2 linked regions of the Pelodiscus sinensis genome follow. The protein of the gene in region 2 interacts with the protein of the main gene of each other region in a pairwise test. Links are inferred from orthologs where the notes say so. Each region holds a gene or a part of one and is shown on either strand. Other genes may lie near its edges.

Evidence for each region.
Region 1: the proteins of RHEBL1 (region 2) and TXNL4A interact in a two-hybrid assay, tested with the Homo sapiens proteins (2 studies listed by BioGRID and IntAct). The link is inferred for Pelodiscus sinensis from reciprocal best matches to the Homo sapiens genes RHEBL1 and TXNL4A.

What each region holds. Positions count from the first base shown.
Region 1 is NC_134712.1:100,808,587-100,814,779, forward strand, and holds the start of TXNL4A (thioredoxin-like protein 4A), read right to left. Parts: upstream 3,323-6,193; 5' UTR 3,187-3,322; intron 1,248-3,186; 5' UTR 1,228-1,247; coding exon 1,075-1,227; intron 1-1,074. Other genes in the region: putative 2-ketogluconate reductase, read left to right, coding at 3,560-3,589. UniProt on the Homo sapiens protein: Plays a role in pre-mRNA splicing as component of the U5 snRNP and U4/U6-U5 tri-snRNP complexes that are involved in spliceosome assembly, and as component of the precatalytic spliceosome (spliceosome B complex).
Region 2 is NC_134729.1:4,912,761-4,918,953, reverse strand, and holds the start of RHEBL1 (GTPase RhebL1), read right to left. Parts: upstream 3,604-6,193; 5' UTR 3,460-3,603; coding exon 3,408-3,459; intron 2,273-3,407; coding exon 2,201-2,272; intron 853-2,200; coding exon 785-852; intron 231-784; coding exon 148-230; intron 1-147.

The sequences.
Region 1 (6,193 bases), on a different chromosome or scaffold from region 2:
GCTTCAACAACCAGATGATCAAGAGAAATACAATTTTTTAAGACTACCATAGACAAGAAAGGACTGCCAAGAAACAGCCTCACATTTGGAGCACACAGCAAATTGTACGTATAGAGAATTGTACAAATGATTTTGGAAGCAATTGTTGACTAAGGTGAATTCACAGCAGACTTTCTGACTAGGTTCTTGTTTCATTTCAGTTTGCTTTTTTTTTTTTTTTTTCTTATGAGGTTTAACAAATAATTTGCTAAGAATTCTGTATAGTTGCACTATTATGCAAGAACATTATCCAAGAGGACATGAAAGGATAAAATATATCCAATCGCAAACTTATGTAAACAATACTTCAATTTTTTTTCTCAATATCTAAGATGCTTAAATGGGTGATTGGTTTGTCACAGAATATCACTGCAATCTGAGACAGCTTCAAGAGACTGGCTCAATATGTACAGATTAAAATTCATTTCAGACCTTGTATAACTAAGGGCATGCTCTAAGTCAAAGGAGTGGCATCAATTTCAGCCAAGCCTGAATATAGAGTTTCAGTAAATTTCTTTCCATGCATTTCAAAATTTACCTTTTAAAAATAAAACTATATATACCAAAACATCTAAACTTTTAAAGCTATTCCAAAGAACTGTGAAGTTGCTAGTGTATTAATATTACACATTCTGAGTATCAAGTGACTATGATGGCTCAGTCTTACCTGTAATGTTCATACCAGTTCTATTAATGAAACTAGTTTCCCTTTCAACGGCCTAGACTATTAGATGTTAAGTTACCAGCAGTCAGAAAAGAAAAATATTCTCAAGGACTGATGCTCAATTTTAGAATTTTGTAGTACTGCTTCCATTCAGTTAAATATTAAACAACATGGTGGGTAATTATTTCATGTGACTATGGAAGTAGATAGTTGTTTCACATTCATTCAATGTAGATATAGTTCTTTTAGGAAACAGAAGAAGTGGGATGTATTGCCTAGACCCTTAGAAACTGCCTTAGACTAAAAAAAACAAATAATTTCAGATGCTGAACAGAAACATATAATTATCTCAAATGACGATCAACATTTACCTTCTCAGCAATACTATATAAAACTTCATCCATTTTCATACAAGTTGGATCCCAGTCATGTCCAAACCGGATGACCACCACACGGTCTTCTTCTGAAAGAATGGCCTGGTCTACTTGCCAGCCATTGTGTAAGTGAGGAAGCATATACGACATCTTTAAACTTTATGTAACACCTGGAAAAGGACAGAAACCATCTAAGAACTTACAATTCTACTTCCTGATATCTACTTAACTTTAATTATAAACACTTGTCAATTAATTCTATTTAAACTGATGTACATATACCCAGACCTAACTTATTCCTTTTAAAACACCCCCCCAAATATTATTGATAGTGAAATACTTCTGATAAAGACTACCCAATTTTCCTAATCCTGTGTCTATACTGTGCTTTTTCTTAGTATTTCCCACCATTGCAGCTTCATCACCAGTATTTTCTAGTATAGAATGACAGTGAGCATTTTTACTATTGTGTGACCTCCTAGCCTGTGTCAGAACAGCCCTCAATGACATGTTAATTATTTACACTGTGACCTCTCTACACAAGTGCTACCACTGGCATTAAAGTAGTGGTGGGAGATGTTTAAGGAAATGCTCAGTATGGATCAGGACCAAGGTTCACATGACAACCATCAGCCAGTCCAGAAAGATCTCCTGTCCAGGAATGGGAAGAACGGAGAGAAACTCTTTCAGCCCTCATGATCTCCATTCCCTTATTTTCAGTCTTTTACCAATAGGCCCAGCAATATCAGCAGTCAAGTCAGATGTACTGTACCACATTCAGAGATCTAACAAATTTTCTCCGAAATTCACCATTTTTAAATGAGTTGTTACTACCAGGGGTGCTGGAACGATTTGCATAGTGGGGCTGCCAAGAACCATTGAATCAAACTGTAAAACATGTGCATAATGGAAACCACGGCAAGCCAAGGGGTATGGAAGCAGCCCTAGCACTGCTAGTTCCAGGACCGAAGATTACTATAAACCCCTGCATGGTGGGGATTAGGGATGTTAAAATGTGGTTAACTGACTAGTTGAGTAAGTCAATGAAATTTCCACCGATTACTCGACAGGCACTTCCGCATTCATCCTTCAAACTGTACAAGAGACCCTGCTGGGGCTCTTGTACATTTCAAAGGAGGAACATGGAACTCCACAGGTGCCTGTTTGAAATGTACAAGAGTCCCCAGTGGGAGGCTCTTGTGCATTTCAAAGCCATGGAGCCCCGGGTCAGTGGGGGACTATAAGTCCCCCGCTGACCCGGGACTCCATGCTGTGCTGCATGCCACTTGGAGTCCGGGGTCAGCTCCGCTGCTTCACTGCTGACCCCAGTTCCGCACAGCATTTCAGTGGAACCCAGGATCAACTGGGGCCTCCCCAGCTGACCCCAGGCTCCGTGGCTCCCCCTTTGAAACATGGAGGCAGCAGAGTCCCCAGCTGACTTTGGGCATGTTGAAAGGGCAGCGCTGCACAGCTGAGCTGTGAATCAGCTGTACTGGGGCTGCAGGCAGTACCGCACAGCTGATCCCTGGCTCAGCTGTGCGGAGCTGTGGCTTTGAAATACCCCTTCCCCCCCTTTGCTGCCTCTATCTTATGGAGGCAGTACAGGGGAGGGGAGGAATCAACTAGTTGACTAGTCCTCAACACCCTTAGCGGGGGATGGTGCGATGTTGGTGTTGCCACCAGGGAGGGCAAAGTGGTGCAAATGGGGCCAATGACATGGGGCCATTAAAATCCATAAAAAAACATAACAGCCCCTCCCCCGGCACACCCCCTTATGGCCCCTTCCATGGCACCGCCTGTAGCCCCTCCCCCAGCGTCCCTCCCACCTCCATGGCCACTCCCACAGTGCCCCCGTCACCCCTCCCCCACACGCTTCCCAAGGGTCCCGCCTTCGCCTCTCCCCCTCCCCTCAGCGCCCCCTCCCCACCCCCACAGCCTCTCCCAGGGCCCCCACACCGTTCCCCAGGGCCCCTCTCATACAGGCCCCCCACGGCCCCCCCTACTGCCCTTCATGCTGCCCTCACAGCAGCGGCCCGGGGGGAGGTTCATGCGGCTCCCCTCCCAGAACAGTCCGCGCGCAGCCCGCCCTGCGACCCCCGGGGCACCCACCTCCCACAGAGCAACCGCCGCTGCTGACACCACGCGCCACAACGGCCCGACCGCGCCGCGAGCCCCTCGGGGACCAGCCGGGGGCGCACTCCCATGCGCAGCGCTTTACGAGCTCCCGGAGAGGGCGCCGGAAGTGACGGAGTGCGTGCCCCGGCAGAACACCGCCACGGGCGGAAGGAGTGGTCTCGCCATCTTGCTTGAGGGCTTCCCTTCAGGGGGTGAGTTTTTGCTGTTTTCTGACGGGTCCCTGTACGAACGTGGAGAGGTGGAGCAAACCAACTCCCTAAAACGGCGGGGGGGGGGGGGGATCATTAAATAGGCGTTTAAACTCTTAGTTTCTCATGTTAGTTGTAACAAGATATCTCACCGCCTGATGCCCCAATGGAGAGATCCAGCGAATCACGTATGTAAATACGTACCTGTGTACGTCCTGCTGCTCCAGGCAATATTTCGCCATTGCTTGCGCAGTTCTTTGTACAGCCCTGCCCACGCACAAAGTGGATGCATTTTGCACTCGCTTTGGGTGCGTCTAGACCACAAGCCTCTTTCGAAAGAGAGTGTCTAGACTGCAGCCTCTTCTTTCGGAAAAGCGAGCTGCTTTTTCCACAGTGCGCACCCCGGCAGTCTGGATGCTCTCTTTCGAAAAAGCCCTGTTTGCATTCAAGAACGCCTTTTTTCAAAAGAATGGTGATAGAAATGTAGCCGTGTTAGTCTGGGGTAGTTGAAGCAAAATGCAGGACAATGTAGCACTTTAAAGACTAACAAGATGGTTTATTAGATGATGAGCTTTCGTGGGCCAGACCCACTTCCTCAGATCAAATAATGGAAGAAAGTAGTCACAACCATATATACCAAAGGATACAATTAAAAAAATGAACAAATATGAAAAGCACAAATCACATTGCAGAACAGAAGGGGGATGTGGGGGGGGGGGGGGGAGGAAGGAAGGTAAGTGTCTGTGAATTGATGATATTAGAGGTGGGGAGAGTGGGATGTTTGTGAGTTAATGGTATTAGAGGTGATAATTGGGGAAACTATCTTGGTAATGGGTGAGATAGTTCAAATGTTTGTTAAGTCCTTGTTGGCAAGTGTCGAATTTTAACATGAATGACAGTTCAGAGGATTCCCTTTCAAGTGCAGATGTAAAACATCTCAGACACTTCATTATAAAACTGACAATAATGTGTTCACTTTTTTTTCATTGTATTCCTTTGGTATATGTGGTCATGCCAATTCTCTTCCAGATTTTGATCTGAGGAAGTGGGTCTGGCCCACGAAAGCTCATCACCTAATAAACCATCTTGTTAGTCTTTAAGGTGCTACATAGTTTTTCCTTTTCTTTTAGCAAGATCAGACTAACATGGCTACATCTCTATCACTGGACCATTGTGGGTGTGTCTACACTGCAATCAGGCAGTTCAGTTATACTATACATAGGCATTCCTGGCTGAGTTAGCTTTGATAACTTTTGATAAAGCTAACTTGCTGAAAAATTGTAATGTAGTTGCAGCAGCATAGATAGCAGAATGGGATACGTACTCCTAGAACCACAGGTATGGACTTGAGCTAGCTTGTACTGCTGCCTGAACTCCTGTGGCTAGTCTGCTATTTTTAGTGAGTTAGCTCAGTTAGAGCTAGCTCAGATATGCTTACTTGTATCTGTTATCCCAGTTGCTTTGTAGATATACCCAGCATCAGAGCATTGTATTAAGAGTAGGGTGAGGAGTCACGGTCTGCAAAAATAGGGGGGTTTTAACTTCTGCTTATGAATGTAGAGAAAGTATTTCTAAAATAAGTACAGATCTGAGTGAGAAGGAAGGTTAATGCACTAAGAACAAAAAGTGTAATTCCACTATTTTCTCTTTCATTCTAAAGACAGTCAGTGAAGAGATTTTATCCTGGATGATTAATCTAATTTTCCCTGATTAGGAGGTTGTGCTGCATGATGCTTTAAGAATTCTAATGTCTGCATGTGGTTAGAGTAGACTCTAATAAGGTTTGCAACAGTGTGAATTGCAGAGTTCAAAAGTCTTGTCAGTTGACAGCAGCCACACCTAGAATAGATTGGACTTTTTCACTGTACTAACATGATTACTTTGTTCATTAAATTACTTTATTTTCTTGATCTTGTTCTGGTCAGTTACTGTCCTTTATATTAAAATGCATGATCAGCTGATTGGGCATGGGGAGACAAATTGGCTGCAAAGCATTGGCATATGAAAATTATAAAGGTTTTTTCCTTACGGAGTGCTCATGCTCTGCAACTTTAGTTAAAAAGTAACTTTTTAACTCCAGTGCCCATAGACCCTTAAAAAAATCTATTTATTATTTACAGGGAATCTTCTTTAGTCAACAAAGATCTGAATTATTTCTTCTAAGAAATGGTTTAAATGTATGCTTGTTAAACTGTCTGTATAATATTTTATTTTGTAGGGGCATGTCTTCAAACATTGGACCTGGGTCCGTTCTAGCCAAAGTAACAATAGCAATTACAAAGTGAGCCACATTATCAACAATATGGCTTACAGCAGGTCTAGATTAGGGTTCCCATTGGTAGCTGTAATGGGAATTTTAGGGAAACAAGATGTAGTGTAAACAAGGCCTCGTTTGTGTGGGAGACCAGAAGATTGTTTGGTAGAATCAACCGATTACATGCCCGGATTCTGCATAATCCCCTAAATAGATGTGCAACAGGGTGAATCCACAAGGAATGCCCTCTTAGCTCTGGTACTTCTAGCATGGACTGGTCAGAATCCTGTTGAGGATTACAGGCTCTGATTCTTTTTAGCATACTTCTCGATCTCTACATCCAGATTTGGATCCTGGCAGACCTGAAATGAAGAACAGACAACCGATAATGATCACACAGACAATTTAAAATGATCTTTTAATAATCTATCTTTCTTCATCCCTTATTACAGAGATAAATAATTTTCAGGAATAAAAATGCAGGGTTGCCAAATTGTGTGGAATGGAAATAACTTTGGGACTAAAATGAATGATGTAT
Region 2 (6,193 bases):
GAGCCAAGGGCCCCTCCGGATCCTCTACTCCAGGAACAGCACCCATTGGAGCCGACTCTGCTCCGATCTGGAGATCTGGCCCCTAGGACACGGAGCTCACGGCCCCTACAGTCAAGCACCAATCCCACCCCCCAGGGGAGCCCTCACCTTCGGAGCGAGGTGACGGAATAGACCAGCACGTAGCCGTGGATGCCGATGCTGAAGGAATGGGGCAGGATGGTGTACTCGTCCTGGGGCGCCGTGGGCAGGAGAGAGTCGCATGAACAGCGGCGGGTGAGAAATAGACAAGACAGCTTCTTCCCCCACCCCACTTTATTACAGCATCCCACCCTGCCGAGACACGGGAGCCCAGCCCACGCTAAACAGAATCGAGCCAGGTTGGCACATGGGTGGGAGACCCTCCCGCAGACCACAGAAAGCCCAGGTGGTGGGTTTTTTTTTGGGGGGGGGGGTACTTTTCTCTCTAGGTGGCTAGTGCCCCAGCATGATGCTACAGGACACTACTGCTGCTGGAGGTTAATTCCTTTGGAAACACAGAACCACTGAAACGGTGTTATTTTTGGGAGGGGGGAGGGACCTGACCAAATTCTACCCCCCTCCCTAACTGTCCTTCTGGTCTTGAGACAGGATTTCACCCTTCCTGATCTAAACGGCTGCCATGATAAGGGAAAGGTTCCATGCCAGAGATGGCTGCATCATATATCCCTTTTGGGGGTGGAGAGGGAGACCCGTCAGGAGGAAGCACCATGTGGAAAGCTACACCCGTTTCCCCCCCAGGTCTTACCTGCCCTGCAGTATCCACCAGCTGGAGGTGAAATTCATCCTTTCCCACCATCAGCATTTTGTTGTAGGCTGGGGGAATCAATCGCAGAGACCTGTTACAGGGAACAGTCCCCACACCCAGCCCGACCGCTCCCTGCTGCCCTCTGGTGGCCAGGCCAGGCACAGGCTTACAAGTCCACTCCTCCCCATAGCCAACAGCCTGGCCCTTTGGACCCAGAGGTCCCAGGATCAATCCCTGAAGGGCATCCGCTCCCGCCCCGGGTTCCGGTTGCTGAAGGAGCAGTGACTAGGAGACAAGCCCCTGGGCTTCTGCGCACAGCCTGTCGGATGCAGCTCCCCCCACTGGTGTGGGTCCTGCTGGGCTGGTACCAGGGGGCTGTACCAGTCCCCCCAGGCTTAGATCAGCTCTCCTGTCGGTTGGGTTTGTCCTGCCCAGCTGGCTTCGCACAGAACCAAAGCCCAACTTGGAAACATTTGAGCTGGAGGAGTCCCAGCGGATCCTGCCCTCCCTCCTCCCCCCAGAAGGGATGCAGCTTCCTCTGCGGATGTCAACCAAGAGTGGATTTGCAAGCATGAGGCAGCCACAGAGACTCCACAATGCGCTAAGGGGAAGCTCTGGCCTGTGGTACCCTCTACGCCTAGCTGGGACCCAGCAGCTCTCCTGCGATTTCACACACAGGACCTGCTGCTCCACAGACACTAAGTGCAGCCGGAGGAATGGCTGCGTTTCCGGACAACAGGCAAGCCTCAGTAACGCCCACCCAACCGCCTCGCTCTATTGGGGGTGGAGGGCTCATGAAAAGCAGGAAGGGGCTAGAAACAGCCAAGGGCAGGAAGGAGGGAGGGGTTTGCAGCAAACGCAAAAGGAAACACCCCCCGCCACCCCAACCCACATGCAGCACGTGGCCTTTCAGCTTAAAGGCCCCCTTGAACCAGATTCTCGCCCTCGGTCGCTGATCCCTGAAGCTAGAGATGGAGCCCTGATGGAGGTAACCCTGCCACCCGCCCTGCCTCCTGCAGAAGGCTCTGGATTCCAGGCAAGGAAGTCACTTTCTCCCATATCCCATCCCCAACAGCTGGCACTTTAATGGGCATCTGAGCACTTGTGAGTTCTACCCTAGACACCGCGTGTTCCTAGACCTATCCAAGAACCACAGCGTGTGCATCCGGCAGGCTGGTCGAGTGGATGGGTGCTGAACAAGGCTCTGTTGACTCAGCTGCATCACTTTGCCAAGTCCCCTCCCCCCCACTTCAGTGTTTCTATTCCCCCAAATCTTTAAACAAGGGGGGGGGGAATCTCCACAACACCTCCCCTGGAGGCCAGTTTTGGTGGGGGCCCTAAGCACTATGGGGATAAATAAGCGCAATGCAATGCCCACTACAGGCTCACTCAGCCTGAAAAGGGCCCTGGACTCACTGCTTTCCACTGTAGGGTCATAGCACTCCAGGAATTCCCCGTCGATGAACTGATGAGCCAGGGAGGTTTTACCTGGAGGGAAGAGATTTGAAACCGTGTTGCTGTGAATGCGGCAGGCACAGCGCACACGGCAGTCAGACCCCTGCAGCTGGCCCGCGCCAGCTAAGAAGCTAGTCAATTACAACGTACACCAGGGTCCTTACACCAGGGTCCTTGAGACCGGGGCCCCCGCCTGAGCCTAATGGACAGGCCCTTAACTTTTGCTGCTGCTAGGAGCCCCCTCCTTGCCCTTTCACAGAGACCAACATGGCAAGGCCACCCATGTGTACACCCCCATAAAGGTGTGCTGGGAACTTCCAAACTCAGCTTCCAAATTCACACCAGCACTAAGGGCATCCCTTCTGCTTGGCCATGTCAGGGGTGAGGGGTTTAGAGGCAATAGTTTGAGCAGAAGCAGGATTTAAACCCTCTCGCCCAAACCCCATGCTGCCGACCCACTGTTGGAGATGGGGGCTTCTGACTTTAGCAGACTAGCCCCCCCCCCCCTTTGCCTGCCCAGGGCAGGCCCTTAGGACTGGGCACCCAGGCACACAAGTTACAGACTAACAGGACTATCCCTCTGAGACTTTTTTTTTTTTAAAGCTGAATGTTAGAAACTAGATCTAAGGAAATGAGCCACTTCCCAAGGCCGACCTCTGACCCCGGTCATTTCCTCCCTCTCCTCGCAGGCCATGTGGTTGAATGGCAAACTGACCCCACATGACCCCTAGCCTCCCCTTCCCCCCCCCAGCTCCTCCCGAGGGAGGATCAGCTGGGGGGGGGGGGGGGGGGAAGACAGCAAAGACTCAGAGGGCAGCACACCCCGGAAAGTGGCCATAACTTCCCCAGCTCCGGGGCGCGCCTGGGGGCAGCTGAGCAAGACCCCCCCCCCCCCCCCCCCCGCCTGCCACAGATGCTGCTCATCAGCTCCAAGCGTGCGAGAGCTGGGCCAGGAAGCCGGAAACCCACAGCGCAGGCTGCTCGTCCCCACCTCACATAGGAGCCACAGCCCCTCCCCACCCCACGCCAGCCCCCGCGGCTTCCCCCTTCCCTGCAGAGCCCCTCCCGCCCACGGGCCCCGCAAGCGACCCGTGCATCGCCCCCCTCCCCCCGCCGGCTCCATGCACCCCCCCCCCGGTCCTGCAGGGAGACCCCCCCCCCCACTCACCCACGGAGCGGTAGCCCAGGATCACCACCTTCCGGTAGCGCACCAGTGGCATGGCCCGTGCGGACAGCGCCCACGCCGCGTGGGGCGGGAGGGGGCAGAGCAGGGCGGGCACCACAACCAGAGCGATAAAGAGCCCGCCCGGGCGGGGCCGTCGTCGCAGCCACAACACCCGGCCTCCCACGTGACCACAACATTGCGAAGCCGCCGCTGCTATTGGCCGACGTCCCTGCCGGAGGGGCGGGGACGACTCCGAGGAGGGAGGAGAGCGGGGACGGCGCATGCGCTCAGGGAGCGCCAGGCTCCATTCATTAAACCGAAGGGAAGGAAACGGGACCACGTGGTTCTACACACACACAAGCACAGAGCACGTGGGAGGTCTCCACTCCCTGACTCTTCCACCACCACTCCGCATGGACCCCCACCGCTTCCAGAGCTGCTTCCACACTGACTGCCTCGATGGTTTACCCCCTGCCCTACTGTGTATCTGCCCCCTTCCGTCAAGGGTGCCATTTAAGAGGGGAGCAGGGGAGGGGGGAGACTGTAGCCCCACCTAAAGTTTGGACTCCTGGATTTCATACTTGAGGTCTGGCACCTGCCCTGGCTCCAGAGGCAGCTCTTAAGCACACCAGAGTTGGTGCTGCTCCCAGCTTGGTATTTGGGGGCAGGGAATTTGTTTATAAGCAGAGGGAGGCAGGCTGAGTAAGAGAAAAGGGCTTGTCCTTCAGGTAACTGAGGGATCCTTAGATGATCATGAAAACATTGCCAAGCACTCCACTTGAAAGAAGGGGGGGGGAGAGAGTAGTAATAAATAGTGGTGTGTTCCTGGAGCACTGCTGTTCAACTTATTCATAAACTAGAAGATTTACCCAGCCTTGCTCAGGTTAATTTTTTGTTTAAGTAAATTGAAAATGTACCCACTTCACTTAAATCATTTCTCTGGGCTGGGGGAGACAATTTGCAGGCTGCCCTGAGGACAACCCCAGCCCTCTCTCACCTCAGCAGCTTGGAGCCAGGTGAGAAGTGCCTCTCCCTGGCTGCTCAGTGGGCACAGCTGGAGAGGGGTGCAAATCCCCTGGCTGGGGCAGGTCCAAGTTAATCTGGGGAGAGGCCATGTAAGGACAGGACCACCTGTCCCCTGGCAGTAGCAGCTCTCAGTTGGGTGCCATGGCTTTTTATATATATATATATATATATATTTTTATAATGGAGATTGCCTATCTCTTAGAACTGGAAGGGACCTTGAAAGGTCATCGAGTCCAGTCCCCTGCCTTCACAGCAGAACCAAGTACCATCCCTGACAAATTTTTGCCCCAAATGGCCTCCACAAGGATTGAACTCAACCCTGGGTTTAGCAGGCCAATGCTCAAACCACTGAGCTATCCCTCATGCTGGGGGAGAGGTGCCCCCTCCTCTGGTCCCAGCATGGAGCAGATGAAGTTGGGGTTGGGGGGGGCATCCCCCATCCCCTGGCTCCAGCACAGAGCTCCACAGTTAGGGCGGAGGCACAGCCCTCTCTAGACCCAGCCTGTGCTGGAGACAGCAAACAGAGGTGGCTCCTACATACCTGCCCTGAGCCCCTACCCTCCCTCGGCCTGCCCTGAGCTCATTTCCTACATTTGCTCTGTTTTGTCAGTTTTGAGGCCTGTACTTGATTTGGTGATTCTGTCTCTTTTCAGTTTGGTTTCATGAGAATCCTGTTCCAGGCACATGCTGTTTGGGGAGGAGTGTGAGTCCTGGTTCATCTGCCCCCTGCACTCCCCAGCCAGAGTGAGGAATGCAGCAAGCTGTGCACTTTCCCCCTTGCTCCCTGACAAAGAGGAACAGCCAGTAATGTTCCTGTAGCAGCCCACTGCTCTCCTTAAAGGGTGCAGAGGCTTGGGCAATCTCGGGGGAGGGAGAAGCACCCCCAGCCAGACCCTTTTACCTGCCTTATGATTCTTTTTCTTTTCTGGATGGTTTTCTGAGACGCAATTCATCCCATTCCATGCACATCCCATTTTCCTGACACAACCAAACCCTGACCTTGCTTTAAGTCAGGGCTACTCAACACACGGCCTATGGGCCGCATGTGGCCTGTGGCCTGTTTGTTTGCAGCCCATGGGTGGGAGCCAAAACAAAAAAGTAGTCAATATAATGGTCTTCTGTTGATATGTGTTTTAGTAGTTAAATTCCTGGACTGTCATTGCTCATTAAAAGTGCTGTCAGATGGGTGGAAATTGGGTATATATTGCACTTAATTAATATCAGCAGAGCTGACTTAGATGGGCCCTACGTTTTGCCTTAATCTTTCTATTCATAACCATCAGTGTGAGATGCTATTTGCATATATTTGCATATATATTTGCATGTATTTGCAACCACATTTAAGTTGTGGCCCTCGGCATGTGCTGTGAGTATCACTGTGGCCCCTGTGTCTTCCAAAGTTGAGTAGCCCTGCTCTGAGTTATGATCAAAGGAAGTTGTATATCAAATTTGGTGGTCATAGCTCTATTTAGGAGAAGCTCTTGAACAAACAGACAGATGGATAGACAGACAAACTCACTCAAATATGTAATAGATGATCTTGAAAAAGGGGTAATCAGTGAGGTGAATGCACATGGAAAAATATAGTATCAACTATGCCTACAAAAATGATGGGGGGTCTAAAATAACTGTTACCACTCAAGAAAGAGATCTTGGAATCATTGTGGATAGTTTCCTGAAAATATCTGCTCAGTGTGCAGTAGCAATCTAAAAAGCTAACCAAATATTGGAAATCATCAGGAAGGAAATAGGTAATGAGAGAG